Diceros bicornis minor: one gene and its partners. The protein of the gene in region 1 purifies or fractionates together with the protein of each later gene. This does not show direct contact. Links are inferred from orthologs where the notes say so. Each region holds a gene or a part of one and is shown on either strand. Other genes may lie near its edges. The genes, in order: SDC2, AMPD2, CAMKV and PDPK1.

Region 1 (7,570 bases):
CACCACGAACAGGCTTTCCCGGCTCTCTAGAGCCCATAAAGGAAGGGCCACGGGTTCCTTTTCACAGATAGCTTTGAGCCTTAGTTCCTGAGAACCTTTTTTTTTTCCTGGAGCTTAGTATAAAACTCAAGAATTCACTGACTGGAGACATTTTTCCTTTCTTCCTTTTAAAAAGAGGCTTTAAACTCAGACAATCACTATTTCTGACTCCCAGGAAACAGTTGCAGTTTTCAAATTAAAATGTGAAGTACTGGAAATAATGTACTATAATGGCTAAATGTTGAAAAATTAAGTCTTTCAACTTTGCATAAATTTATGCTGCTATACATGAAACAGAGACTGAAAAGTAACTTAAATGGACTATTAGACATCCTGGGCTTTGAAACAGCTTCTATTGAGAAAGACTGACTCATTGCTTAACAAAGACTCTGCTCGAGTCTCCAAGTTGACATTTTAAAAATATCTAATCACCTTTTTGGATGATATTCCAATTACTGAAAACAGTATCTACCACAGTGAAGCAGCTCACTGGGGGAAACAGCCAATTTTGGTTGGAAATGAGAAATATTAAAGCCCTCAAGACACTGAGTTCAGAGGAAAGTTGTCACGGGGAGGACAGGTACAATTCAGCCAAAAAGCTGCCTTAAGGAGCGCTGTCGGATTTCCACAAAAACCCAAAGAGGCAGAAGATAGAGATACGCTTTCTCTAGCATCCCCAAACAGTAATATTTCTTAGCAAATCCCTGAACAGGACTCAGCAAAAGGACCTCCTGTACAGCTTTTTTAGGCAGGCTTCTCTTCAAAACCTTGAGATGGAGTTCTCCCTTTGCCCTGCTTTACAACAAGATGAGCAATAATGTTTTTCTGAAACATTATTTCAGAACCATCTCCCCCTTTTTTTGTACAACGAGCCAAAGTTCATAACTGACTGGGAGATTACCAATCCCAACGGATTACATGATCATTTGCCGAGGAGAAATACCGATAAGGCTCGGAGTTCTGTTTTACAGCCTAAGCACCCAAATACTCATCTACTCTGTCCAGTTTACAATTCTGCGTGCTCTCCAATCGCGGGTAACGTTTGGGGATGTGCCGGCACACAGAGGCTCCCACACTGATGAAAATACCCATCTGCTGCTCAGTGCCAAAGAGGTTTCCCAATCCTAAATCGCATCAACTCAAAAAATAAAGGGAGAAGGGAGAAAGGCGAGGTGGAAAATTTCACAAAACCACCTCTAAGGTGACATGACGTGTCTTCAATGAGATAGTTCAGTTATTTAGAAATGGAGACGTTATCAGGCGGCCAAGGGAGGAGATATGGGGAACGAGGAGGGACAGAAACAGCTGCCCTTCATAACCGGGGCCCCAGACGGCACTGAGGCTGCGGGCTGACCAGTGAGGGGCTTCCACCCAGCCGGACAAAGCTCGGGGTGCCCAGGTAGGGGCCGCCACCGACAAGGAGAAGCCCAGGAGGCAGTTCCCTTCAGAGGGCGCTCATTGGGCGATGTAGGGAAACACGCTCCAAACAGGACCCAAAGGAGGAGAAACCAAGTTCCCACAGCCCGGGCCGCGGAGGAAGGCTGGGTGCCGGCAGCCGGCCGCCGCCGGAGAAGAGACTCCTCCGGGCCTCGGATGCACTCCCGCCTGGGCCCGCGAGGGCGAGGGTGGCGGGCTGGAAGCCTCGGTCCCCGAGCGGCCAGGCGACCCGAGGCCAAGCGCAGTGTCACACGCACCCCGCCTCGCCCCGCATGCTGCACTCCAGAGCAATCCGTAGTAAAATGTCCTCCTGCCCCTAAGGGCCCGCGGCCGCCCTCCGCGCCTCCAGGAGGAGGGGGTCGCCGTAGCGCTGGGATTCCAGCGGCCGGCGCCCCAGCATTTTCCGTCGCGTTCCGCGCACCCCCCGCGGGACCGCGGACTGCGCCTCGGCGAGTAGCGTTTCCACGTAGTGTCTGCTACCTCGCCCCAGCCACGGGGAACATCAAACAAAAGAACTTTTGCAAACTTTCCTCTCCGGGCACTCTCGGGTTTCTTAAATCTGGGCCCCATCTCCCCAGCACTTGCATTCAATCCATTATAAGCTGGCGTGGGGGAATGGTGTGCGGAGGGAGGGACCCCCAAGTTTCCAGGTTGCTCCTGGGTCTTGGGGAGCGCGCAGGGTGCACCCCTTTCCTCGAAGGCCCTACCCGGGCTCCCGTCTCCGGCCACCGTTTCCCTCGGTCCTTCCCGGGCCAGGCAACAAGACCCTTCCGAGGGTGAAGAAGTTGGGAGTGACTTCAGGGGCCTCTGCGGTTAGACAAAACGGCGATTCTCGCGCCCTCATCCCCGGGGACTTCGGGGCAACTCCAGCGAGCGGCGCTTTTCTGCGGGAAGGGAAGGGGAAAAGGGGTGGAAGAGCGAGTGCGTTTGTCCCAGCAGATCCCGGGGGCCGAACGCCGCGTCTGGGGGTGGGGAGGTGGACTCCCCCAGGTGGCGCTCCCTGATTCCCCAAGGGCGCTGCAGACTCCGCTCGGCCTCGAGCACCCTAAACGGCGCGCGTGTCCCCCGCCTGGCTCACTCACCGACTCCGCCGACACGCAGGCCATCAAGCCCAAGGTGAACAGGATCCAAGCGCGCCGCATATTCCCCGGGGACCGGCTGCTCCCAGCCGACGCTTGCAACCAGGGCGAAACGAAGCCTCTTGCCCAGCGCCAGGCGCAGCCGCGCAGACAAATCCGGACCACACCAGCTGCAGCGACCGCAGCTCGGGCTCGGGGGCTCGAGCTCCGGACTCGGGGCGCTCGCTTGCTCCTCCTGCGCCTGCTCCCGCCGCCCGCGGCTGCGCCCCGGAACGCGGCTCCTTCTCACTTGTTGGTTTCTGCACTCCCGACGCTGAGGTGTCGCTCCCGGGCGGCTGCTCTCTGGAGCTCTTCTTGCTCGTGTTTTACTCCTCCGCGGACTCCTTCCCTGTGTCGCGGCTCAGTTTCTGATTCTGAGGAATAAATTAGATGGCTTGGAATGTAGCTGCAGATGAAGTTTGGGGGCAGAGCGGTGGGGGCGCGCAGTCGGCGCGGCTGGAGCTCCCGGAGTATCTGGAGGGAAGCGCGTCCGAGCGGGGCTGGTGGCTCAGCGGCTGCGCCCCTCCTCCTCTCGCGCGGCCGCCTCCCACCCCGGGTCCTCCTCCTCCTCCTCCTCCTCCTCTTCCTCTTCTCCTCCCGCTCCCTCCCTCCCTCCGTAGCCTGCTTCTCCGAGCTCCTCCGGGCGTCTGGGGGAGAGGAGGCGGCAGTGTGACTCCCAGCCAAACCTGGGAGAAATTCCTACAGGATTACGCCCCGATTGGCAGCTCCGGGGACCAGTGGGCGCCGGCGGCTCTGCGCTGTGGCCGCTCTAGGTCGGCTCGTCCGCAATCAATGCTCCGGGGCTCCAGGCGCCTTCCTTTTCTCGCTCCGTTTTTCCCTTCCTCCTCTCCCCACTTTTCCTCTCTCCTCCTCCGTGCTCTTTTCTTCTCTATTCTCTTCTCTTCACTTTCACTTTCTGGAGAAAGATCGTTGAAGCAACGAGAGACATAATTAGCTGGATATTTGCCTGCGAGAATTAGACCAGTAGAAAGAAACTGCTTTGAGAGTTGGAGAAAAACACACAAAGTTTACGGATGCCTTCAAGCAATGTATTCATAAATCGCCAGTTGATGAAAACTGTATTTTAAAAGAGAAGACAATAAATGTAATAAACGTGTATTAAGAGTATTTCCCACCCTCCCGAAAAGGGGAAGTGGAGGAAAACCCCGTAAACCCAAAATACAACACTTTCAAAGCTCATAGTTTCATTAAGAGCTTAAATACCATTTCTGCCTCACACACAGTTTAAGCCCCTAAGGCATTTTATAGGCTCCATTTCAGCATAGAGGTGTTAACATTCGGAAGCTACAAATAGGGCAATTTGGTGAGAAATTGGATAGAGACCCAGAATAATAACAGATTTAAGAGAACTTCAAAGAAAAGAGGAATAAAGTGATTTCTAATTTGAAGAAAATAATGAGCATGTATTTCCTGAATGGAAGTAATTGATCTGAAATATTTTGTTATGAAATTTTTTTTTCAATTCTGTGTCTGTGGTATACTACAGCTGATGACAAATGCATATTCCCTTCCAGTTTCTAACACTGTTTTTCTCTCTGACTTATGGAGTAAATGAGTTACGGAGCCATTCTGCTCCTAGAATGCCTACTGCAGGAGACCAGGGAACTTTCTGTCTTGTTCACCACTGTGTATTCTCATTCCTGATATGTAAAGACACACAATAGTTCTTGAGTAAATTTTGATCCAAAACTCAAATCTCTACTGCATAAGAGCTGTGAGCCTTTAAGATACATAGATGTAGATATGTAGATAGTACACCATGGTAATTTTTAACTTAGTATTAGAATAAAATACAGTAGTACTCTAAGTGAGAATAACAATGTCTTAGTAACCTTTCACTGTAATAAATCTCAAAGAAAGACATTTTAGAGAACTGGAGAGTTACAACTCAAAGTCGGAGACATCCAGCTCTTTGCTTTTGAGTGCCAACTACAAGCTCTCTTTGGGCAAATCTAAGGCACTGGCGGCCAAAAAGACAATGTGGGGAAATAGAAGAGAGAGCAGAGGAGGAAGAAAAGAAGAAAAAGATCAGGAGGCTGGAAGTTGTATCATCTGATGCTTCCCATTCCACAGAAACTGAGCTGGCGCCTGTGGGTCTATGTGGGCCCAGCTTGGTTTTTGGAAGAATGAACTATGGCCGTATTTTTAAGATGGATTCTCTGGGGGTTGAAGAATTTCATGAGATGGGGAGACTTATGAAAAGAGGTTCCAAAAAAATGAGCAATGTGAGAGAAATGCAAAGAGCCATAAAATGTCACCTCTACCCTCAGAAGAGACCTCTAGTCTGCTCTCCAGCCTTCAGGCAAGGCCACAGCCCTTTTTCCCCCAACACTTAAGAATCCATCAAAGAAATTAGAATTCCAGCAAAAGGGGAAAATGCACCCATTCGCTGGCTCTCACAGATATTGCTGTTATTGGAGCATCTGCCTAACAAGAAGTATGGTGGCTGCTCTCTGGTTCGGCTGGGGCAAACAGTGATAAAAATGAATAAGCAGATGCAGGTGTTGAAGGACTGTATCTGTCCGTGCCCTTGAAGACATACCGCAAGGCTCTCGGCGGTTATGAGTCTCACAGTGACTTGTTTTTTATAAACGGTCGTGCAGCATTGAGGGTATATGTGACAAGGGAATGGTACCATTTTGAGAATCACACAATATCAGGTATATGATAACAAATAAATATTCAAGATCTTACGATCAAATGCATTAACAGGTGTAGCCAAAAGGATAGTCTGAAGGTATAAAAAGCACTAATAGTGAAAGCACCTACACAAGAGCTAGCTACACAAAAGCTGCCTATGCTGAGTGGGGGTGAGGGTAGGGGCCAGGGGCTGTCTGCCGGTGTGAGGAACATGTCTAAACTTGGAAATGACGGAGGTCTGTGTCTTAGTCACTTTGGGCTGCTGTAAGAAAAATATAATAGACTGAGTGGCTTACAAACAACAAAAATTTATTTCTCACTGGGAAGTCCAAGATGAAGGTGCCAGCAGATTCGATGTCCGGTGAGAGCCGGCTTCCTAGTTCATAGATGACTGTCTTTTCTCTGTGTCCTCACGTAGTGGAAGGGGTGAGGGAAGTCTCTGGAGCCTCTTTTATAAGGGCACTAGTCCCCTAAATGAGGACTCTGCTCTCCTGACCTAAGCACCTCTCAAAGGCCCCATCATCACCTTGGAGATTAGGATTTCAACATATGTATTTTGGAGGAGACACAAACATTCAGTCTATAGCAGCCTATTTGTGTGTGTTGCTAATGGGGATTTTGTTTTTTTATCTGAGGACTAAAATTCAGTAGAATTTTGTGGAGTATATCTAATATATTAAGTATAGCATGCTACTAGAGCTAAAGGCTACTCCCTAATACATATGTGATGTCATGTCCTCCATTTAAGGGCTGCGCTTTGAGAGGCACAGCAAATAAAATAGCAAAACCAATCACTTCCCAAATAGCTTCACTGATTGCTAAAAGAATAAACACCCTACCTCAAGAACCTCAGGAGAAAATATAAAAAATGAACAATATGGAGACTGAGCTGCAGAAATGTAAAAAACAGGAATTAAAGGGAACCAGATGAAATGATAGAAATGAAAGCTACTAGCGACATATTTTTTAACCTAAGCTGACACATTGGACTCTGTCATTATGACATCTAATGATATCACATTATAACTGTGGACAAGCAGGTGCCGTGTCCCAAGGTGAGCTGTCAGAGTGGGAAACGTCAAAGGGAGGAAGATGCCACTTTGTTGTTCTCGGTTGTTCTTCCACTCGCCCTTCCTTGGACTGTTATCAGGAGTCTAGGCTAGAAATCCATTTGGTAGGATCAGCCCTGACTAAATTCACTTGAAAGATGATAGAACCGGAGAATAAGAGGAAATCCAGCCAGCCAACTATTAATTACCCATGCTAATAATGGCAAGTGAGCTGAAGCCATGACGGAAATCTACAGGCAATTCAAAAAATCTCTTCTTAGCTTCAGTCTTTCCACTGTTCTCTCCATTTGCCTCTGTCAACCCTTTGCCAGGGAATTTGGCTAATTTGAGTTTCATGATTTGATTCGGTGCTAATGTTGAACAAAATTGTCACATTTTGGGGAGCAGGACACAGGCAGGAAAGTCAAAGAATTGTATAATACATAAATTATCCCCTGAATAAAACAGTAGGCAAAACACTCTTGTCTGTTTCCCTAACAGAGTGGTATGGTTCTTGAAAGACTGGTAAAACTGGACATTTTTTCATTCAATAAGCATATATGGATCACTTGCCATGTGCCAGGTACTCATTGGGTAAGCACATGAATTTTCTTGAAAGGTGTTAGAGTTAACACGTTTTAAAATTGAGTTGTCCTCAAATCACAAAGTCTATGACCAGGGTACATGACAAATTTCATCCTAAAATCAGATATGAAATTTTAAAGAAAACATTGTTTATAGAATTATATCATTCTTAGGCATCAAAGAACATTTTCCTAAGAGCCATACTTGGATATATGAATTTAGAAAGGTTCCATAAAGGTATCTTCGAAGTATTTGCATTGCATTTGCATATATCCAGTTGGACAGGAAAATCTAATCTTGGCTGATTTTATGTAAAATGGTACTACTCTTGTTAGTACACTCTGTAGACTATTACTTTAATGGCAGCCAGCCCTACCTCATTCACTGTTATTAGAGTTCCATCCTCTCTAGGATGGCACCCCACATACTATATGCTAGAAGGGGAGCCCTACATGCTGTATACTAAATGATCCCATACCTCCTTGCTCACAATTATGGATGGATGTGGGGGGAGGCAATTTATTAGTGGGCCAGTAGCCAATCATATTCACCCTGTAGATCATTTACATCAAGGAATTCAGAGTCTAACTCGATTGTACATTGGCCTGGGAGTCATCCAAAACTAGCGAGGGGTCCTTGTGTGCTGAAACAGAAAAGGCTGCTCTACAGTGGAAGAATAAA
Region 2 (7,092 bases), on another chromosome or scaffold:
GGACAAGCTGAGAAACGAGCTGAACAGCTTGGTTCTAGAAAGATCTAGGCAGGGGGTATGGTTCAGGAAATTGTCCTGGGCAAGGATCTTTTTGAGGCTGCAGTTGTTCTCTCTCAAATCCGCTATCTGCAGAGAGGGGTCTGGCGTAGGTGGGAGGCTGACGAGTGAGCTGCAGGCCAGAAGTGAAGAGAAGCAGTTATTCAGAGAATTAACGAGTGCATCGTCAGTGGCAGCCCGGGGTTCAGGAAGGGCCATTGAAGGAACTATCTGGTGAATAGGCTAGGAGAGGAGGAAGCTATGTTTAGAGCGAGGGAAGGTCCCAGGGGCTCAAAGACAATATTAAGGCCCCAACATGAAAAAAGCTGGAGGCCTTAGGGGATGACTCACTCCTTCATTTCCCAAACTCTGTTCTGCATAGACAAGGAAACCCCGCTGAGATTCTTGCTGGTGGTGTGTGGGTGGGGAGATGGATGCCTGGCTGTAATCAGGGCAGACTTCCCAGCAAGGACAGCAGTGTGCCAAATGGCCCGGAAATAGGGGAGAGTTACAGGGTGAAGCGTGTGTCACAGATGGAACGAGGAAGGAGCGTGAAAGGACTAGTGAACTGGTTTGCTTGGGTAGGGTCGAGGGCAGGATTGACACCTATGGGCTGGTTAAGTAGGTAGGTCTGGATTGAGGGGGAATCCTAAAGAGACCTGGCCCAATGCAAGATATCACCCCTTAAAACTATGTCAAAATTTGCATTTTATCAGAATATAGATGATGTTCTACATGGTTACCTGGTGCTTGGTTTTTAATTTTGAGATTTATTTTATTATTCATTGTTGAGAGCCCAATGGCCTCAAAATTACTAAGGGCCCCAAGACCAATTTAGTCTGAGGTTAAGACCCAGGACAGTCTGTTGAAGGTGGGGTGTGGGGGCACTTACAGATTTTTACAGACTTGTTGTTTTCTATTCCCTTGATTATAAAAGTAATGGATATGCATTGTAGATAATTTTTAAAATGAAGATAAGTATAAAAAAATAAATATAACCATAATTTCATCACTCACAGAAATCATTTGTAAACTTTTTGATGTGTTTTTTTCTATGCATGTGTGTCACATAATTAGGGCCATAATGTATGTACAGATTTTTGCATCCATTTTTTTCTCCTAACTTTACGCTGTAAACATTTCCACCTCATTAAGAAATTCTCCAAGAACAATTTTTTTTTTTCTTTTTTTTTTTTTGTGAGGAGATCAGCCCTGTGCTAACATCTGCCAATCCTCCTCCTTTTTTGCTGAGGAAGACTGGCGCTGGGCCAACATCCATGCCCATCTTCCTCCACTTTACACTGGACGCTGCCACAACATGGCCTGCCAAGCAGTGTGCCTGTGCGCCCCCGGGATCCCAACCGGCCAACCCCTGAGATCCGAACCTGCGAACCCCGGACCGCTTGCGCCACCAGGCCGGCCCCCTCCAAGAACAATTTTTAATGGCTATATTTCATTGTACGTATCTGACATAATTTAAACGTTCCCTTATTATTGGATCTTTACGTTTCCAGCCTTTCTATGTGATAAACATTGCAGTGATGGACAACTGTGCATATTTTTCTGGCAGCTCTTTTTAGAAGAACAATTTCCTGAAAGTGGAATTACTGGGTCAAATAATATGACCCTTTTTAAGACTCTTGATTATATATTATTAAACAGCTTTCAGAAAGATTATGTCAATGTTTATGCCCACCACTAGTATATGTGTGTGTCCCACCTCACTAACTACACCCTTGCCTGCATTAGGACTTTTTTCCCTTAATCTTTGCTATTTTAATGGGTAAACATGGTATCTCCACTTTTTAGTTTTTGATTCTTTGTGAGGTGAACTTTCCCCCCATGTTTATGGAGGCCATGTTTTTTTGAGTTTGTCCAGGGTGAGGAACAGCAGGCACGGATCAATGGAGGTGGCACCAGATGCAGGTAGAGAATAGGGTTCAGGGTCCAGAATCCAGCCTGGGGAGGAGTGGAGGAGGCAGAGTTTGGGAAGGAATTTGACTATGGGGGTGGTGAGAACAGGGAGGAGCTAGACAAACAGCATTAGTACAACTGGGTGTGTGGGGCAAAGGGCTCCCACAAGGTGGAGAGAAAAGAAAAAGACTAAATGTTGCTAATACACTTAATTATGTTTAGTGAAGTCTTAGGGACTTGCCCTCACAAGTTCTCTTTAGGTGGGATTCTCTGCCAGTTGGGAGTGGGGGTCTGGTTGGGTGAGTTGTCTGCAGTCCCCAAAGCAGCCAACTCCACTTCTTTACAGGCTGCAAGGTGAATCAACCTGTGAGCGTGTCAATAGGGGACCAAGGGCGAGGACATAGCAAGACCAGTACATGAGAACTGAGTAGTAAGTACAGGCCAGGCACTGTTCTAAGCCCTCAACTTATATTAGCGCATCTAAGTCTAACCACCACCACATAAAGCAGGGTCTCTTACACTCACGTTACAGACGAAATCGAAGCAGAGAAGTTAAGTAACTTTCCCAACGTTAGTCAGGAAGTGGGTGGAGGAGTCTGAATTGAACTGAATTCAGGAATAGAATACAGAGCCTAAGCTTTTAACCAACAAATACAGAAATAAATGTGGGAAGGGTTAGACAGAATTGCAGGACACACCCTGCCTATCTACGCCTGCCAGAAGAACACAGACGACGGAAAGTGAGAATGCTGGGGTGGACTTGGGCTAAAAGTGAATCCTGGGACAGTAATAATAGCTCTATCTTATTAGGCGCTGACTTGGTGCCAGGCACGGGGCAAAGGTGCTTAACGTTTAATCCTCACAATCGCGCCTCTGAGTGAGATACGCGATTACCCCATTCCATTTTACTGATGAAGAAGCTGACGTACAGAACTTGCCCAAGACTCGGCCCAGCGGACCGCGGAGGGGCGGCTGTCCCTGTGGCGCCGGGAAGAAGGGAAACGCGGGGGCGGGGCCGGCCGGCCAGGGCGGGGCCTCGGACTTGGAGGGGCCGGCGGCCGCAGAGACGCGCGGCGGCGGCGGCGAGGTCTGGATGGGCTCGCACCTGTTGCGTGACTGCCCCACAGTCCAGCTACGGGAGTCCGGCCCCGAATACCCGGAGAGCGTGGAGAGAAGCCCAGACGAGTTCCGGCTCCCGCTCTCTGCGGAGCACGTGGCCGGCCCGCCTCTCCAGTGCGGGGCTGGGGGTCGGGACTCCCGGATCTCCGAGACCAGGGCAACGGCCGAGGTCGGCGGGGGTCCGCCTCCCGCCAGCTGGCCCTTTTGAAAGACTGCCTTACTTTCCCCATCTCAGGGCCAGGGCAGGGGCCCCAGCCCTCCTCCCCTCCCTCGCGACCCCGGCTTCCCGGCTGTGCGGACCGTGGCGGACAGCCTCCCCGGTCCCCCTCGGGGCGCAGGCAGCATGGCCTCAGGTGAGTGTGTTCGCGTGCATTGCGGGAGTTGTCTCTGGAGCAGACAAGTACAGTGGCCAGGGTGACAAGAGGGAGGGGGTCTCGGCACAGCCAGCAGACCTAGGGAAGGCGGCCAGCTCTTCCTGGGGAGGCTCTGGGAGAGCACTGCCTGAGTGTGGAAAGACCGAGGGAAACGTCACAAGACGCTGAGGTCTCCTTCCCAAACCCCCGGAGAAGCCCTTGCCTCCTGGCCTCCCTGCCTTCCTAGAAGGTAGCTTCTGCCGGAGAGTGGAATTTTCCCAAGACAGGCTCCTCCCTACTGGGCTAGGATTCTCAGTTCTACCCCATCTTCCCAGATCTGGGCTACCCCAGGGACTGGGGATCAGATAGAGAAGGAAAAAAGAGGGCTCTGCCACAGAGGGGCTGGGTTTTTACGGAGTACGCCTGCCCTGAGAGGAGTGTGTTCTGTGCTTGGGGGAGCTCGTGCTGGATTTCTATTTTTTATTCTTTTTTTCTCCCGGCTGGCTGGACCAGCTAGCCTGGACTTTAACTCCTTTGCCCCGGAGCCCTGGTAAGGGGCGAGGGCACCCGAGGGGGTTAGTGGAGTGCCAGGGGCTAGCCCTTCCCCATCTTGTTTTCTCACGTCCACTCCCCTGGCCTAGCTTCCGTCAGTCACTCTCCAGGGACCGAGGAAGGGAGGGGAGCGATAAGGGGCGGATATGGAGGCCCCCCTCCTCCGAGTTGCCTAGACAACATCAGAAATCGTGGCCAGGGCCTCTTCCGCCTGCGGGGCCTCTGCTTCCTGCATCAGTCACTCCCGCTGGGGGCGGGGCGGAGGAAGGGGTTGGATGTGGCAGAGCCGGCCCCCGCTGGTGCGGCTCAGACTACCCCCGCCGTCTCCGCGGCCCGAGCCATGGCATCCTATCCATCTGGCCCCGGCAAATCCAAGGCCAAATATCCCTTTAAGAAGCGGGCCAGCCTGCAGGCCGCCGCTGCAGTACCAGGTGAGTGTGTGCGTCCTGGCCTCGGGCACTGGCTCTGTCCCACCACCTCTCGCCCAGGCCACTGGTCCCCCAGGGGCGCCCCTTCTCCTGCACGCTCTCTGCAGAGTTACCCCTCGTCCTCGGTCCCAGGGACAGCTGTCTTGGGAGGTGGTGCTGGGAGGGAGGTGGGGTGGAGGGTGACAGGTTTTTTTGTTGGGGATGCTGTCCTCTAACGAGTGGGTGTGGGTGCAGCAAGAGGTGTGTTTGCACACGTGTCAGCGTGTGGATGTGCTAAGACTGTTTGCATGTGGAGTGTGTGTGAATGGAGTGGGGGATGTGTGGGACTGACTGGTTTGCGGACTGGCCAAATTGCTGGCGGCTGTGCCTTTCCCAGGCAGACTCAGGCTGTCTTCCTGCAGCTAGTTCCTCTTTCTAGGACCCCAGATCTCGAAGCCACTCACTGGGGCTGCCAGTGGTGGGGGGTTGGGGGAGTCTGATGTTAGGGCACACTCATGGCTGCTGGCATCCCAGGGCTGGGGGCTCAACTGTATCTATCGTTTGCTGATTGCTCCTTCCTGATCTGTCTTGTGAGCTTCCTGGGAAGTGTGGGGTGTCCTTGGGCTGGGCTTGAGCTGGGGCTCAGGCTGGGGCCGCTGCCCGCCTGCGTGTGCTCCTGCACCCTTTGGTTCGGCTCCCACTCTGGTAGGCATCTCTGCACCATTTGGAGCAGGCGGCGTGGTGCGGCTGTGCCATCTCCCTGAGGTCTCGGCTGCCTGGGTCTGTGCTTGTCGAGGGATATCTGCCTGCCCTCTGCTGCCCCCAGGCCTTGTGGCTAAGGAAAGACCACCCATGCTTTGGTGACCAGGTCAAGCCAGTCTCCCCCTGCCAGCAGCTGTCTGTATCTATAGCCTGATCATCCACCTCCTGTATTTTCTTATGCCATTGAAGGTGCTGGCCTGAGGTCTGTGCTGTCCTGAGGGTCTGTGTTCCTGTGCCCAGGTCTGTGCCATCCAGGGGGTGTGTCCCCTGGGGCTAGATCTGTACACCTTTGGGTGGTCACATGGTGGGAGCATCTGATACATGTATGTCAAAGCGTTGGGCACCTCTCTGCCTACTGAGGCAGTCCTGGCAGTGAGTGAGGGGGCTCCTGGTCAAGAGGCTAGATGGGGTGGCAAGAATCTTGGAGTTGGTGGGAGTGGCTGGGGAGTAGCCCTCTCTGGCTTTTGGTCGACTCCTCCTGGGTGAATGTGTGTGTGTGGTGCTGTGGCACAGACCCTGGGAGAAGGGACCAGCAGGCAGCCTGGCCTCAGGGAGTGTGGAGGTTACTGCTTGTCTGTCACCTCCAGTGAACCCTGGCAGTCCAGTGCAGCAGGCTGGGGGCATGGCTCTGGCTGCTGGAACCTGTCCTGGTCACCCTAGCATTTCTGTGGAGGCTGTCGGGGAAGACGGAGAATCCCCCTCCGCCCTTTCCCTTAAGGTTCTTATAGCTGGCCAAATAATTAAAAGACAGATTAGCAGAAGAAAATAATACCAAGTTTAATAACATGTATACATGGGAGAAACCAGGGAAACTGAGTTTCTCAACAAAATGGCAGAGATTCTCATCTTAAATACTATCTTCAGCTAAAGACAAAGGAGGTTATTGGGGGTAGTGGTTTGGAATTTCAGAGGGGAAGAAGACAATTCACATGGAGAGGGAAATATAAATGTTTGTCAGACAGTTCTTTACAGGGCCACCTATAGAGAATGTGGCTGGAGAGACAGAAATCACAATAATCAAGAGTATGTAGATTTAAGTCCTCTCCTTCCGTACTGATAAGAGTGTCCACAGATAAGGCCATCCCCCCCTCTTCCTAATACAGAAAGGGAGATACCTTTACAAATGGAGAGTTCCCTTATAAATGTAAATGTTTGTCTGGCAACTCTTTGCAGGGCTACCTAGAGAATGTGGCCTGGGAGAGACAGAATTTTTGATAAGATGGGCTTGTTAGTGTCTTTCCTATTGTAACATCTATTTTACATTATATTACAGCCATCATATGATAGTAAGTCCTTCCTGAAACAGGCCTTCTATGTTAAATTATTTAGGCAATTTGAGGGAGGTCAAATGTCCGTCAGAGAAAATAATCAAGGTAAAGAGATATGTTTCAGGGTAGCCAATTTTTGATCTCCCTCAAGGCCCTGGGCCACCCTGCTAGGAGAGGGGGTTGAGATTAGGGCCTATGGCTTGCTTGCACTGACCCGATACAGACCAGCCCTGGGGGTCTGTGGTTGGCCTTCGCTGGAGGGGGTTAGAAGTGGGGAGGAGTTGTGTAGGATCAGGGTTCTTGGGTAAGCAAGGACCTTAGGCTCTGTCTTACCCCTTTGGGGTGGAGCAGGTGCCCATCCTTCCTTCTTCTTCCTGCTCTGCCCTCTTCCAAGTAAGAGATAGCATTCCCCCATCTCCATCCCTGCCAAGTTCTGTTCTCTGCCCTTCATTGTTCAGTTGCCTTGGCTGTGCTGGGCCTGAGAACCTCCCACCCTCCCTGATAGGTGGGACTACACGTGGGAAGTGTTTGGAGAGTCCTGAAAGTTTCATAATCGCAGATTGTGGTATTCTACAGGACACTTGTGGAGCCATATCTCTGTGGCAGCTGTGGCTACGCAGGGCACGACCTGCTTATCACCCCATTATAGACAGGACTTCAAACCTCTGGGAGGTAGAGACT
Region 3 (7,811 bases), on another chromosome or scaffold:
ACTCTGGTCCTCTGCCATGTGGGGCTCCAGAACTTGCAGTAAATCTAGGGAGGTCACGAGGGGCCCAGGAGGCCTCCAGCTATCTCCCAACAACTGTGGGCAACACCTCCCGATTTAGTGGCAGCTATGAACACCAGGCTGCAGGCACCCCCTCCCCTTCCATCCTCTCTTCTCTCCGAGAATGGGGCTGGGTTTCCCACTGCAACAGACATACATAGGCCCAAGCCCTGCCTGGCCCATAGCTGAGGCCTCACCTACAGGACTGGGAGAAATAGAGACCTCACTCTCAGGGTCTAGTGTCAGGAAGCAGAACCAAGCTTCTAGCCCACCATCCAACTGCTTCAGGGAACTGGGCAGGGGGTTACCCTGGCTGGGCCTCAGGCTCTGGTTACATCACAGTCCATCGTTCCTGCTGCGGGGACTCTCTCCTATCTAATGAGGGAGCATGAAGAGGAGGGCCTCTCCAGTCTTGGGGGTGGGCACACAGTAGAGTGCTACCTCCAGCAAGTTCAGCATTCAGGCCTCAGCATTCAGGCAGAGCCAAGAGCCAACTGGCCACTTCCAGGCACCTGGGGTCCCAATCTTTGAACCCCTGAAGGAAAATCCACTGGGGGCCCTGATTCCCTGTGGGTGTAGGAGAGGAAATGCAGGGGAAGGCCCCAGAGTAAAGAGTTGCTATGGTGATGGAAGTTTTTAAAACGGCAGGGGGACGGGGCAGCGGGGGGGGGGGGGGGGGGGGGGGGCAGGCGGCAGGCATTGACCAAATCCCTTCTCCAAGAATTCCCTGAGACTTTGGCCCGGCTCCTTCCCCATGGGTTCTGTGACCCTGGTCCCCATCAAGAAAGGAGAGGTGGGGAAACCCAGAGATTTTAGAAAAGAGAGAGAGGGCCAGGGACACAGGAAGACAAAGGCAGAAGCTGCGATGAAAGAGGAGCAAAGAGGCAACAGAGTAAAAGGGACACAGGCATAAAGACACAGAAGGAGAAGGGCAGGGGGTTCTGAAGGGGCCTAAGGGTGTGCAGCAGAGCCCTAAGCTCTCCATGGCCATGTGTTCTGAACACCTGGGCCAGGAGCTGTCCCTGGTGCCTGGACCTCTGAGACTGAACCCTCCTGTATCCCCCAGACATGCACTGGACTTGGTGTGAGAGGCACAGCCGTAGCCTTGGGGAAGAGGCCGCTGTTGCAGTCCCCTCAGCCAGAACAGTTCCTCAGCCCCTCTCCCTGTCATCACGGCAGCTTAGGTAATGCAGGTCCAACATGTCGCAGGCATAAGCACGGGGCGGAGGGGGGGGTGCTGTGGAAATGAAGTTTGGAGACCTCGCTTCCCTTTACAGCCCCTCCTCTCAGCTGGCCCAGCCCTACCTAGACTCCCCAGGCACGTGCACACCCCCCACCCCCCCATCTGCTGTCCTCTCTAGGCCTTGGGTCCCCAGGGCCCTTCTTGCAGCTCAGCCTCATTCCCTGCCACTGCCATTCTCCTCCCCAACAATGGACCCTGTTAGGAGGACCAGAAACAGCACCCAAGCAACCCAGAAACAGGATAACAACTGCACAGCACCTGGCCCCCATGCCTCAGTTTCCCTGGACAGAGATCATGGACTCTGTAGCCTTCTCCCGGCCAGGGCAAGGACTGCTAGACAGTGGTGGCCAGGGCACAGGCTGGAGAGGAGGGCCAGCAGCAGATAGGGGAACGGCAGCCTATGGCACCTGGGGAGTCCACACCAAATGCTGTAAAAGAAAGGGTGAGAGACCTCTGCTCCACCCCAGGGCCCAGGCTGACACTGAGAGGAGTGGAGACACTCATTTCCCAGTTGAGAAAACTGGGGCCCAGCAAGTGGCTAAAGCTGACAGGAATCAACTGGGGGTGGGAGTGGGGGGCTCTCCACAGGTGGTCCTACGGAGCTCAAAGCCTAGGCTTTGGAGGAGGGTGCCAGGCGGGACTGCTGCAGACTGAGCTCTTGGTGAGGGACAGAGAGCCCTGCTCCCTAGGAGGGAATCTGGTGGAGTATGCTTTGCCTAAGGGGTGCAGACAAAAGCAGTTTGGCGGAGCTATGGGGGGCTCGGAGAACCCAGGGTCTCTGGTAGACACTGCAGGCTGGGGAGGGCAGAAACTCTGTTCATTGTCCACCACCCCCAGCCAAGGGCTTTGCTCCCCACCGTGGTGCCACCCTGACCCCCTTCTCCAGTGCTGCTGACTCGCCCCCGCTGGCACAGCAACACACATGCGGGAGGCACACGTGTGAGCACCAAGCCCCGCACCTCCCAGCAGAAACATGTGGGTCCCCCACCCACATCGCGCAGCGTTGGGTCGGTGCCCTGGACCCCCAGCTGGCCCCCACATTACGGCTTGGAAGCTGGATCTTGGCTAGGGGGCCGCTGGTCCCCAGGGGCTTGGAGCCTCCTCCCCCACCCCGCGGCAGCCCCGCCCAGCCCCCTTCAGGTTGTCGCCCATAAAGAACTCTCCGTTGTCATGGAAATTAGTGACTGCCAAGAGGGAGGGAGGGGGCCCGGGGGCAGTTGGGAGGGGCTGGAGGCGGCTCTGGGAGTCAGGAGGGACGGCTCAGCTCTCAGCCCCTACCCCCATGGGGTACCACGAATGTTCGAGGGTTAATATTTTCACAATTAGGAGCCCAGCGAGAAAGCGAGGGGGGGGGGCGGGCAGGGAGGGGAGATTCGCCTGGACTTGAGTCTCAGAGGCTTTCTCTGGGACCACCGAGTGGTCCGGGGTGACGAGGAACTTTAGCCCAACCCCGCCCGCCGACCCCCGGATCTACATAGCACGCGTGCTCGGCCCCCGCCGAGACCCCGAGCCCTCGCGGCACTCGGCGACCCGAACCTTGAGCCAGAGACCCAATCCCCCCAAGACCCCCAAAACGTGCCTTCAAGGGGCACCCGCCCCCGGCCCGGCCCGCCCCGCACCTGCAGCGCCGGTCGGTAACAGGGAGGAAGCGATCGATCGCGGGTTCAGTGGGGCGCCGAGGGCTCCGGGGGCGGCGGGCAGAATCCACTCCGGGCACGCGGGGCAGACGCGGCGCCAGCTGCAGCCGCTTCGGCTCGCGAACCTCCAGCATCTCCCGCCGCTCATCGGCACCGGATTCGCACCCCGGGCCGGGGGCGGGCTGGGGGCGGGGCCTCCCTCAGCCGGCCCCGCCCCGCCCCTGGTGGAGCCTGGGGCTGGAATCCCGCTCGAAGGTGGGCGGAGGAGAGGTGGAAGGTGTGTCGGTGAGCACTGGCCTGATCGGCCCGGCCAGGCACTCAAAGGCTCCCTTACGCCCTCAGACTGACCGGGCAACAGGGGCCGGAGGGGCCTTCCTATGGCCATTGTAGGGGGTGGGGAGTAGGAGGTGTGGGGAAAGCCTGAGTCCTGGAGCTAAAGAGCAGTCTCTTGGCAAGTAGTAGTCCCCGCGGGACCAGCTCTCTGCCCAGCTCCCAAAACCTGACCCAAAGGGCAGAAGCTACTTAAAAGAACCACGTGGGCAGTCACTAGGGCAAGCGGCACTAGACTGGCATCCCTTAGCTAGGAGTAAGTAAACACGTGGTTGTGTGTGTGCATGTGCAAGTGGTCAGTGAGGGCCCCAGACCATGGTGGCAGAGTCTTCAAAACCCACTCCACCCTCCACTCCTGCAGGCCAAAGCCTTTCCCATCCCTAGGTGCCAGCCAGGCAGCTAGCAGAGTCTACCTCCTCCTGTGTGGCACTGAATTTCCCAAACTGTAAAAGTCACCTATGACATGGTGTGGACTCTGCTTTCTTCCCGGTTTAATCACCTTCAAACACTTCAAGAGCAGCATCACCATCGGTGGCCTGGCCTGGGATATGGGGATACAGGAGAACTGCAGCACCAAGGTGGCCTACCAGACCTGGTCCCTCACTGGAGGGGGCTGAGAACTGCCAGGAAGAAGCTCTGAAGGAAGTCCTTGGCCATTGCTCTGTCCCCTGTCAGGGAGGCATATGGGCTCAATGCTTGCTCTGCCCTTGTCACAAGCCCTAAGGCCAGTATCTGAAGGCCAGACTTAAGCTTCTTGGTGCGAGGAGCTGGACTCCGCCCCACCAAACCCTCCCAGTGAGCCTTCTGACCCCATCCTGTGTAGAGTCATCTCCAAACCCTTGGCCACATTGAGTGAGTCTCCCCTGCGTGGCTCCCCATGGTTACTGACAGAACTGACTGCCCAAGTGAGGAAGTTGGCGCTGGGGCTGGAAGGCTATCCTGGGAAATGACTGCTCAAACAAGGCCCCTCAATATCTTCCTCCAGAGGGGGTGTCAAGGAGCCATTTACATCCTCCCCTGGCTTTGAATCACCTCTTCCAGTCCAGACTGGTGCCAACTCTAGGTTCCCTGGACTCTGGGTGGTCTCAGTCATGGCACCAACTCTACCACTGGGTAGGAATCTCCTGGTAAGCTGGGCATCTGCAGGGCAGAGCCTGTGTCTCATCTCAGTATGCTCAGTTCATGTCTGCAGAATGAATGAATGGTCTGGCACTCAGTCGTTTCTGCTGTCTGTCCACTGTCCTTGAAACAATGGTTCTCTGAGTTGTATGGTCCAGCTGAGCCATGGCTTGCTGACCCCACACATGTCACACACGTTTTCTGTCTTTCCTAAAGGTCATGGCTATCCAGGCGTGGAGCAGCTGGGCCAAGGAGAAGCTGAAATGGGGGATTTAGAGGCAAGGGAAGAGGCGGCTCACTAGAGCCCTGCCTGCTGCTGGCAATGCTCTACCTCTTCTTGGTCCTGTGCACACTCCGTGTGCCTGTGGGTGAGAGCACGTGGCAGAGTTGTGTGTTCACACGTGTGAATGTGTCTATGTGTGTGTGCGCTGTTATGCTGAAGGAGATGACAACAGCACAGTGTGTATTGTGGTGCCCAGGGGCATGTGTGTCTGCATTCTGTGTGTACCCAAGCATGCTCGCTCACACATGCGCATAGACACTGTAGCTAGTCCCTGGAGCCATTGGTCCCTGGAGCCACCGGTCTCCTTCTCGCCTGACACAGGCCTCAGGATTATGGAGGCTGAATTGCAGTGTGAGAGCAGGACATGGGAAGAGATTGAACCATGCCCAGGGCTGGAAAGGGGCTGTGATGACCCTACATCGTTGGCTGTTTTAGTCTGTCCACCTAGGGGAGCCCCTCACTTTCAGGCATGTGTGGGGGTGGGCAGGTCTTTGCCCTTTGTGGAGAGGGTAACCTAAAGACGAGGACCCAGGGTTGGGACGGGGTTATGGCTTGTCCTTCAGCCCCCAACCAGAGAGGCACAGGCAGGGTAGGGCTTTACTGTCTTGGCTTCAGTCTCCAGCTGCCCACTGGGCAGAAAGTAGCAACACCAGCTGAATGCCATCCTCTTAGCTCTTCCACACCATGGACTGGGCTGACACGGAGCTTAATTTCTACCCCCACTATTCAGAGCCAAACAAGGTCAGAGGCCATGGCTTCTAGCCACCTTCCTGGCCAGAGGGAGAGCAGGAGGCCCTTTAGCGCATGGAAGAGTTTGGAACAAGACAGGGGCAGTTGGCATTGACATTGCCTGGTAGCCTCCATGAGGATCTTCTGAGGAGGGCTGTACCCTGGCCACCCTGTGGGCAGGGGCTGCCTGACTTGAGAGGCTGAGGAAGAGAAGGGAGCCCAAAGTTGACAGTTCTGACTCTCTCCAGAACTAGACAGTCAGAGAGGCAGGATAAGTTGTGAGCTTCTGTATCCACAGAGCCTACAAAGCAGGCCAGGGCATCATCCCCCAGCTCAAGTTGTACCTCCCATCCAGGATCTAGGACTTATTTGCCCCCCTACCCCAACTTCCTGCCCCAGGGCACCAAAGGCCAGCACTCTCATACCTTCCTATTCTGACTGGCCAACGGAAGCCCCTGCCAACCCAGCAGAGAGCTCCAGCCAAAGTTGACTTTAGGAGGTACCTGCATTACTAGGCCAGCTCCCCCAAGAAGTCCAGACTGACAGGGACCCTCCTTTGGGGGCAACAAATGCTGCAGGCCCCCAGCCATCTTTGGAATTTTTTGGCTGTTGTCCATGTTGCTGGCCTTAGCCCCCTGTAGAGGGACCAAGATGGAGGAGGGCAAGCAATCTTCTCCTCTGGAGCTAGAGGAGGGGGCTGTTCCCCCTTCATGACTCACTCCAGGCTATGTGGGTTATTACATTATGTTTGAAATTGCCATGGCAACCAGCTGGCAATCAAGGGTAATTGCACTTGTCACCAGGGCAACGGGGCAAAACCCACAGCAGCCACTCTCTGTGTTCGCCCTTGAGTTGCAGTAAAGGTCAGGCTAGACCAGAGCCAATGCCAGCCAAGGGGCTTGGGGCTCTCTGGAAAGGATAGGATTGCCAGGGCCCATGGAGTTGTAGTGTGCAGAGGCAGGGTTTGCCTTGGGAGTGCCAAGGTCCCCATCCCTGACCCCATACCTGGACCTCTGCCCTTCCCCGCACTACCCTATGCCTAAAACATGCCACAGTGTTCAAAGTAAGCAGAACCAGAACTTTTATGTGTTCACAGATGGTATTTGTAGATGGCCCATGGGCCCTCCTCCTCGTACTCACGGCGGCTGAGCCACAGGCTCTGGAAGGAGTCCCGGGACGCCATGATGGAGCCTCCCAGCCAAGCGGCAACAGCACGGTGGGGAGAGCCCAGCACAGTGGCACAGGGGCCCAGCTCCTGTCTCAGGCGCTCAGGAAAGCCACTTACCAGGGTGCTGCCACCGTCCAGCACCACATTGGCCAGCAGCTGCTCCTGCTGCTTGGCCTCCAGCCGGCTGATGCTTTGGAGGGCTAGTTGTGGGAGGCCCTGCTGGTTGAGGCCTAGCAGATCCGGCTGGAAGAGGGCCTCAGGGCAGCAGAAGCGCTCAGAGCCCAGCGAGATGACCTGCTTGTCTGGAAGCACGAATTCCACCCGGGCCTGGGCCTGAGTGCGGGCCATCTCAGCTGTCATATCCATGGCCACGTAGCAGCAGGCCTCTTTAATCTGGTTGACCAGCACTGCCTTGGGCGGTGAGTGGCCACCTGCCAGCAATAGCTGAGCTAGGTATTCAGTGAGGTCAGCACCGGCCACATCAAGCCGGTAGGTGTCAAGTGGGGCCAGATCCCCAGTGAGGATGGGCGCCACGTAGGAGGTGCCATGGCCACTGCCCAGGACCAGCCCAGTGGTGCGCCCATAAGCATAGAGCGCCAGCAGGGCCTGATGCACTGTCTGCATGGCTGGCACATGGAAACGCTCGAAGAGTATTTCAGCCACCTTTTCTCGGTTGGTGCGTGGTGAGATGGGTGAGTCAGCCACAAGCACAGCCAGCTCCTCAGGCTGTACGCCTAGCCTGCAATGGAACAGGTGCTGCCATAGCACCTCTAGTGCATCCCAGTCGGAGACCACTCCTCGATTAAGCACCGAGTAGGAGCCCTCTCGGTTCTTGGGCACTGCATACCTGGGCTGACCCTGGACTGGGTGCTGCAGCAGCTGGACACGTGAGGGCACCACACTGAGGATGTGGTCCTCTCCAGCCAGTCCACATTTGGTGAAGCCTGTGCCTGTGTCGATCACCACGGCCGCCATGTCCTGGTAGGGGCCCAATGAGTGGCGGCAGAGCACTGGGGACCGTACTGGCAGAGCATCTGTGGTGGACACCAGCTCATAGCAGGCCCCGTGTAACAGGCCAAGGTGTGCGACCACTGACGACTGTGTAACGTCCTCAGCTGTCAGCTTGAACTGGGGACCTTGGGGCTCAGTGCCCACCATGGCCATGGGCAAGACCTTGCAGCCAGTGCCAGTTGTGGTGAATGTGATCGGGGAAAGCTGCTCCTCCTGGGCCCTGGGGGAGCTGCC
Region 4 (7,331 bases), on another chromosome or scaffold:
CTCTTTATCAAAAGCAGACTAAAAGTCCAGGAAAATTACCTTTTATTTTATTTTTTATTGAGGTGATAATAGTTTATAACATTATGCAATTTCACATGTACATTATCATTTGTCAGTCACTATATACATGTGCCCCTTTACCCCTTATGCCCCCCCCCCCCCCCCCCCGTCAACACCCTTCCCCTCTGGTAACCACTAATCTGTTCTCTTTGTCCGTGTGTTAGTTTATCTTCCACATATGAGTGAAATCATGCAGTGTTTGTCTTTCTCTGGCTTATTTCGCTTAACGTAATACTCTCAAGGTCCATTCATGTTGTTGTGAATGGGACGATTTTGTCTTTTTTTATGGCTGGGTAGTATTCCATTGTATATATACACACCACATCTTCTTTATCCAAACATCAGTCAATGAGCACTTGGGTTGCTTCCACATCTTGGCTATTGTGAATAATGCTGCAATGAACATAAGGGTGCATAAGTCTATTTGAATTGTTAATTTCAAGTTCTTTGGATAAATACCCAGTAGTGGGATATCTGGGTTGTGTGATATTTCTATTAATTTTTTGAGAAGTCTCTGTTTTCCATAGTGGCTGTACCAGTTTGCATTCCCACGAGCAGTGTATGAGGGTTCCCTTTTCTCCACATCCTCTCCAACATTTGTTATTTTTTGTCTTGGTGATTATAGCCATTCTAACGGCTGTAAGGTGATATCAATGTAGTTTTGATTTGCATTTCCCTGATAATTAGTGATGTTGAACATCTTTTCATGTGCCTGTTGGCCATCTGATATCTTCTTTGGAAAAATGTCTGTTCATATCCTCTGCTAATTTTTTGATTGGGTTGTTTGTTTTTTTGTTGTTGAGTTGTGTGAGTTCTTTATATATTTTGGAGATTAACGCCTTGTCCGATATATGATTTGTGAATATTTTCTTCCAGTTGGTGGGTTGTCTTTTCATTTTGTTCCTGGTTTCCTTTGCCTTGCAGAAGCTCTTTAGTCTGATGAAATCCCACTTGTTTATTTTTTCTTTTGTTTCCCTTGCCTGGGTAGATATGGTATTCGAAAAGATCCTTCTAAGACTGATGTCATGGTGTGTGCTGCCTATATTTTCTTCTAGGAGTTTTATGGTTTCAGGTCTTACCTTCAAGTCTTTGATCCATTTTGAGTTAATTTTCGTGTATGGTGAAAGATAATGGTCTACTCTCATTCTTTTGCATGTGGCTGTCCAGTTTTCCCAACACCTCTGTCAGCTTCTTGATTCAGTTTTTTTTCATGTGATGAAATCCATTAGAGAATCTATCATTTTCAGTATTTTTCTGGAGCCCTCTGAAGCCTGCTCCGGGTAGTCTGTGTGCTCCTTGTTCTTATCCTGGCATTTCTCCTCGTTATCCGGGCACTTCTGAGTCCCCACTTACCTGATTTCCTTTCTCCCCCCCAGCACTTATTACCTTCTAACATCCCGTAATGTTTGCTTATTTATTATGCTTGCCGTCTCCGCCTCACCCCCCCGCCAGAGTTCCACAAGAGCAGAGATTTGTGTTTTTTTCACGATGAATTGCTGATGTCTAGCACGGCGCTTCGCATGGAGGGGGCCTCAATGTATATTTGTCAAATGGACAAATCTGGGGACTTGCCTTCATCACCCTCTGTGTATTCTGTTTCTTCCTGTTTGCTGGATCTCATGTCTTCATCTTTCTTGGTTTTCTTCCTCATGTGGTGGAGCACATCCTTCAGTAACTTTCTGAGAAAGGGTGCTTGTGAGATATATATTTTTAGACTCTATAGCTATGTATATATTTACAGTTGTATTTAGTGTACAGTCTGGCAAATTTCTTCACATGTAAAATGGTAATAAATATTGGGTATCTCATAAGGTTGTGATGAGAATTAAGTAAGATAAATCATATAGACTGGCTAGCATTCTCTGAGGACAAGTTATTATTACTTTTTGAAGACTAAGTATAAAATAAAGGTTGTTAAGAGGTAGTTGAGTGCAGTGGCCAAGAACAAGGCATTGGTGTTGGTCAGGGCTAGTTTTGAGTCCTGTGCTCTGTGACCTAGTAACTCTATGACGGAGAGTAGGCAAGTCCCTGAAGCCTCAGTTTCCTCATGTGAAAAATGGAAATGGTCATGGTACCTACTGTTCATGGGGCTCTTGTGCAGTGAAATCAGATCTACTGCTCTCAATGCGTAGTAGGGGTTATCGATGTAGGATAATGTTCCCAATGTTCCTGAATGTTGGAGGTGGCTTGGTATGGTAGCCAGAGCTGGTATCTACCTTGATTTTTGTGTCTTGCAAGGGTGAGAGTGTCTGGAGAGGGCAGGCAGTTGGCAATTTGTAGCGTGTATCAGAAGTCCTGAGAAGGATACCTGAACTTTGACCCAGGAATTCCATCTGCTAAGAATTTATCCTAAGGTTTGGCAATAGATGTCAGCTCAGGGCCAGTCTTAGCAAAAAGAGGAGGATTGGCATGGATGTTAGCTCAGGGCTGATCTTCATCACACGCACACATACATACACAAAGAATTTATCCTAAGGAAATAAGTAAGGGTGTGCCTGGATTTAAGTGCAGGGCCTTGTTCCTGAGGAAAAAGTCTGGGAACCACTTCAGCGTCAGTTAGGAGGGAGCTTGAACAATACGTGGATCTATAAACTATAGGCGTCCTCCAGTGGAGTTCTCTGCAGCCCTCACAACGGAGGAAGGTGGCAGTCAGATATCAGGAGAGCTGTACAGGATGCAGGACCATACGTTGTTAAGTGAAAAACGGGGTATCAGAACAGCATGAGCTCTTCTGGGGGATATGGGTTACACGGGGCTTTTTATTGTTTTTTAAGGTAAGTAAGTGTACAGAGGGCTGGAAGCCTGGACGAACTGTCCAGGCTGTGTAGTCTAATGGTCAAAGCACAGTGTCTGGCATGTGGGTGTCAGGATCCTGGTTCTGGCACTAGAAGACCTAGGACAAGTTACAGAACTGTGCTGTGCCTCAGCTTCCTCATCTGAAAAGTGGGGCAACAATAGGAGAGATGCTTGTTTAGAGTGAGATTAGTCATGCAAGTTCCTTGCTGAGAGTAAGCACTGAGTGAATGTTAGTGGCCTCACTGCTATTGGATGGCTAATACTGGCCAGTGGGATTATGGATTCATTTATCTTATTGTTACTTCTCTATATTGCCTAAATTATTTTTTAAAATAATTTCTTTTGGAAATAGAAAAAACATTTAAACATATGCAAACCTTCAGGTAACAAAGATTCTAATTTTGTTTAAAACAACATCATCATAGCACAACAACGTGAATGTACTTAATGCCATTGAACTGTACACTAAAATGGTTAAGGTGTATATTTTACCACAATTTAAAAAACCAACAATAACATCATCAACCACAACTACCAAGAAATTCAACATCATTATCATCATCATCAACAACTACAAAAAAAAATTTATGGGCAAAGAAGAGGGTTCTGAAAGTGTCCCTGGGACTGTTAGCAGTGATGAGATGGGATTGTTTTCTGCCGTATGAATATGAGTTTAGGGGCCTGCCAGGTGGCGCACGCGGTTAAGTGCGCGCGCTCCGCTTCGGCAGCCTGGAGTTAGCCGGTTCGGATCCCCGGCGCGCACCGACGCGCTGCTTGTAGAGCCATGCTGTGGCGACGTCCCATGTAATAGTAGAGGAGGATGGGCACAGATGTTAGCTCAGGGCCAATCTTCCTCAGAAAAAAGAGGAGGATTGGCATCAGATGTTAGCTCAGTGCTGATTTTCCTCACATACACAAAAAATGACTTTAGAGCCTACATTTTCTTCCGTGAGCACGTCTTAGTTTTGTAACTGGTAAAGTTGCGTGTCTCGTGTTTACACAGAGCCCCGCTCTGGAATCCGAGCCACCAGTTAGAGCCCAGCCCCGCCGCTGCCTCTGGCGTGACCTCGGCCGGCCCGGCCCCTGCCAGCCTCAGTTTCCCGGCGCGGGAGCCGGGATGACAGCTCGCCCCTCCCCCGCCCGGCCCCGCCCCACTGCCCCAGGATTGGCTCGTGCGGCCCCCCCCAAAGGCGGGGCCCGGCCGCTCCCGCCTGCCAGGCTCCAACCCGGAAATGCGGCTCGGAGGCGCCTGCGGGCCCTCCCCGGGCCACGGCGGAGCGACGGCGGGCGCGGCCAATGGACGGGGATGGCGACGGCAGTTCGGCGGAAGTCCCGCCTGGCGTCGCGCGGGGGCGGGACGGCGCCGGGGGCGGCGGGCGGCGGGGCGGGCGCAGGATGAGGGCGGCCATTGCTGGGGCTCCGGCGCGGGGAGGAGGACGCTGAGGAGGCGCCGAGCCGTGTAGCGTCGCGGGGGAGGCGCCCGCGCCGACGCGGGGCCCATGGCCAGGACCACCAGCCAGCTGGTGAGTGCGCGGCAGCTGCTCGGGCGCGGCGGCTGCCGGGGGCCCGGCGAGGCGGGGCGGCCCGGGGTCCCCAGGGCCGGGCGGCGCCTCACCTGCGGCCGGGCGGCGGGCCGGGGAGCGCGGGCGCCGTGGGGGCGCCGCTCGGCCGCCGCGGGGAGCCCGGGTGCCGGTGCGGCGGCGCCGGCCCGACGGGGGCGCTGACAGAGCGTGGAGGGCGGGGGAGCGGGGAGGTGTCACTGGCCGTCGCGGTGGAAGTGCTCGGAAAGTTTGTTTTCGGTGTGGTCTGAAGCCGAGCCTCCGGTTCCCTGTGGTTCCGTCCGTGGAGAACCGCCGGGGCCTTCACCGGGAACGGGTCTGCGTGCCTTTGCTGCAGCAGAGCGGGAGCCGCGAGTTCTCGCCCAAGCACCTGATGCTCCGGGCCCCCGAGTTCGCGGCTGGGATGGAGTCTGATACGCTCCCTTCGCGGTTCCTGCGCGGCGGTATTTGCGTACTTCTCTTGCCGGGAGGCCCCGCTCAGGCACGGGCATCAGTGTGGTGGGACGCCCCTGGGAGGCCGGGCTCGAGCCGACCACCGAGGGGCGGGTGAGGTTGACAGCGAGGAGGGGTTTTAAGGGGGAAGGAAAAGGTACTCGTTGGGGTAAAGGTCTTGCTAAGAGCATCGCTAGTGTTTATATGTTTTCTGTTTGTGCTAAAAGTATTCGTAGTGTTTTAATATTTTTCCTCTGTTAAGTTTCAGGGTCGTGGGAAGATGGTTTAGGGAATTATACGTTGTATGCGAGTGTGAAGTAGGTGATGGAAGAATGCCTAGACACTTGCAAAATTTGCTTCAAAAGGCAAATCCCTTAAATGAAGGAAGACCCAAGGAATTTACTTGATCCCTATTTTCCAGCATATGGTTCTGTGGTAGTTCTTAATCTTTGTGAGAGGGTTATGAGCCCGTTTGAGAATCGGATGGAAGGTATGAGTCCTCTCCTGAGAAAAACGCACGATCACACCGAATTTTGTAATTACTTCAGGAGGCTCTTGAACTTTCTGCAGCTGGTCCATGGACTTCAGGTTAAGAACTCTGCTTTGTAGAGTTGGGTGATAATCCGAAGTATAAGAGAAGGAGGACCTGTTCAGTTGAGAAAAATGGTGAAAGGCGAAAGGGATGTCTTTGACTGTTGCAACATGTGTGACTGTATCCTGGGGTGCCTGGACTAACACACAAAAACACAAATTAGGCTGCATGGTGAACCTGAGTGGAGGCTGGGGCTGACAGTAATCGTGCAGGTTTGTAGAATGAACTTTCATACAGTAATGCTGTTGCAAGGCGAGGTGTGTACTTTGACGGTGTCCATGGGAAGAGGAAAAGAGCACATTTTCTCATAGTCTTGGTCGTTCCCCATAACGGATGTTTGATGTCTGGAGTTTTCTTTGCAGAAAGCAGCTTTTTAGTGCAAAAACACTGGAATCCGGTGAGAAAAGATCAGTTAGAGAATAAAGGATAGATCTCTTCTTCAGGAAGTGAGAGGAACTAGCTTTTGTGACTTCATCAGCTAGATTCCCTCACGTGTACAGATGTGAGAATATGCCATATTTCCCATCAATAGCCACAGAGATGCCCCCAATATTGGAATTTTCACCTAAGGACAGATAGATTTGCTTGGTTCAAGGGAATTTGCATCGAGGTTTTTAAGGTGACGCTATATGAGAAGCTGTGTCCCAATTAATTTTCCCATTTCTTTAAGTGTGTATAGCCAACGGGGGGAGCAGTATGAGTTGTGAAGTCTGAAAAGGGCCTAGCCCAGTTTGTTACTAAGGGGGGCCGGGGGCTGTGAGTACCATTTATTGAGCACTTACTTTAAGACAGGCATTTTGTTAGAGAGCTCACATGGTGTTGCTTGACTTCTGTCAACGGTGTTGTGAGGTATGTGTCGCTCCCATTTACAGGTGTGGAAACTGAGGTGCGGAGAGGTTAAGTACCTGCTTGGTAAATAGAGTGGAGTTTGAACCCATTTCTGATCGATGGCAGAGGTCCCGGTGCCACCCTGCCCCTCATGTGAGTAGTGCCCTGAGGGAGGGTCCCCTGGGCAGCTCAGCGCAGCACTGGGACTAAGGTAGTCCTTGGTGCTGCTGCCTAGGACGTCTTCCTGAGGATTTTGCCTGAATGTCCTGACTGTGCTATGCTGGAGGTAGGAGGGACATCTTCACGTGGAAGGACAGCACGCTTATTTATTTCTTTGGGCAGATGGCTGAACTCTGTGACCCCTGGAGCCTATTTCAGCCTCACGCTGTCAGAAAGCAGCTGTTTGGAAAGAGGCTCCTGTTCATCCTTCTTTGAGGGCTGCTGTTCTGAATGGGTGAGGCTTGAAATCCTCCCTTTGGAAAAAAGAACTGTGCAACAATTTTGTTAAAGGTAAAATTGGCAGCTAGGCAGAGTGGCTCCCTGCACACTCTAGGGCGGCTCTGTCTTTTGTAAGGATGGCTGCATCCGTGCGGGAAGGTGGTGGGGAAAGCAGAGGGAAGGTGGTGGGGAAAGCAGAGAACATGGAAAGAAGTGAGTTCTGATTTTCACACTCCCTTTTGGGTAACTCCTCTTCATGTGGTCTTGTGCAGCATGGTGTATTTCTCTCCCCACAACGCCCTTGTGGCAGTTACTGAGCTGAGTCCAGAGCTGACAAGGTGTGCTCCCTGTACTAGTAAGGAGTGGAAGTGTAGGTTTGTTCTACTCCTCTGACATGTGTTTTGTAAGGATCACAGCAGCAGGCTACAGAAACATGGGGCATGAAAAGAGGCCTTGGGGGGCCGGCCCCGTGGCTTAGTGGTTAAGTGCGCGCACTCCGCTACTGGCGGCCCTGGTTTGGATCCTGGGCACACACTGACGCACTGCTTGTCGGGCCATGCTGAGGCAGCATCGCACATACAGCAACTAAGAAAGATGTGCAGCTATGACATACAACTATCTGCTGG

What was found.
Region 2: the proteins of SDC2 (region 1) and AMPD2 purify together in Homo sapiens (co-immunoprecipitation; 3 studies listed by BioGRID and IntAct, counting the BioPlex papers as one, with this or other methods). This does not show direct contact. The link is inferred for Diceros bicornis minor from reciprocal best matches to the Homo sapiens genes SDC2 and AMPD2.
Region 3: the proteins of SDC2 (region 1) and CAMKV purify together in Homo sapiens (affinity purification with mass spectrometry; 3 studies listed by BioGRID and IntAct, counting the BioPlex papers as one, with this or other methods). This does not show direct contact. The link is inferred for Diceros bicornis minor from reciprocal best matches to the Homo sapiens genes SDC2 and CAMKV.
Region 4: the proteins of SDC2 (region 1) and PDPK1 purify together in Homo sapiens (affinity purification with mass spectrometry; 4 studies listed by BioGRID and IntAct, counting the BioPlex papers as one, with this or other methods). This does not show direct contact. The link is inferred for Diceros bicornis minor from reciprocal best matches to the Homo sapiens genes SDC2 and PDPK1.

The regions. Positions count from the first base shown.
Region 1 is NC_080760.1:15,623,773-15,631,342, reverse strand, and holds the start of SDC2 (syndecan-2), read right to left. Parts: upstream 3,037-7,570; 5' UTR 2,619-3,036; coding exon 2,559-2,618; intron 1-2,558. UniProt on the Homo sapiens protein: Cell surface proteoglycan which regulates dendritic arbor morphogenesis.
Region 2 is NC_080743.1:42,649,674-42,656,765, forward strand, and holds the start of AMPD2 (AMP deaminase 2), read left to right. Parts: upstream 1-4,041; 5' UTR 4,042-4,249; coding exon of another isoform or gene 4,250-4,314; coding exon 4,315-4,405; intron 4,406-7,092. UniProt on the Homo sapiens protein: AMP deaminase plays a critical role in energy metabolism. Catalyzes the deamination of AMP to IMP and plays an important role in the purine nucleotide cycle.
Region 3 is NC_080741.1:50,982,739-50,990,549, forward strand, and holds the start of CAMKV (caM kinase-like vesicle-associated protein), read right to left. Parts: upstream 3,057-7,811; 5' UTR 2,920-3,056; intron 1-2,919. Other genes in the region: uncharacterized protein LOC131411027, read right to left, coding at 6,489-7,811. UniProt on the Homo sapiens protein: Does not appear to have detectable kinase activity.
Region 4 is NC_080765.1:45,881,452-45,888,782, reverse strand, and holds the start of PDPK1 (3-phosphoinositide-dependent protein kinase 1), read left to right. Parts: upstream 1-4,301; 5' UTR 4,302-4,355; coding exon of another isoform or gene 4,356-4,379; intron 4,380-5,109; 5' UTR 5,110-5,660; coding exon 5,661-5,696; intron 5,697-5,704; exon of another isoform or gene 5,705-6,420; intron 6,421-7,331. UniProt on the Homo sapiens protein: Serine/threonine kinase which acts as a master kinase, phosphorylating and activating a subgroup of the AGC family of protein kinases.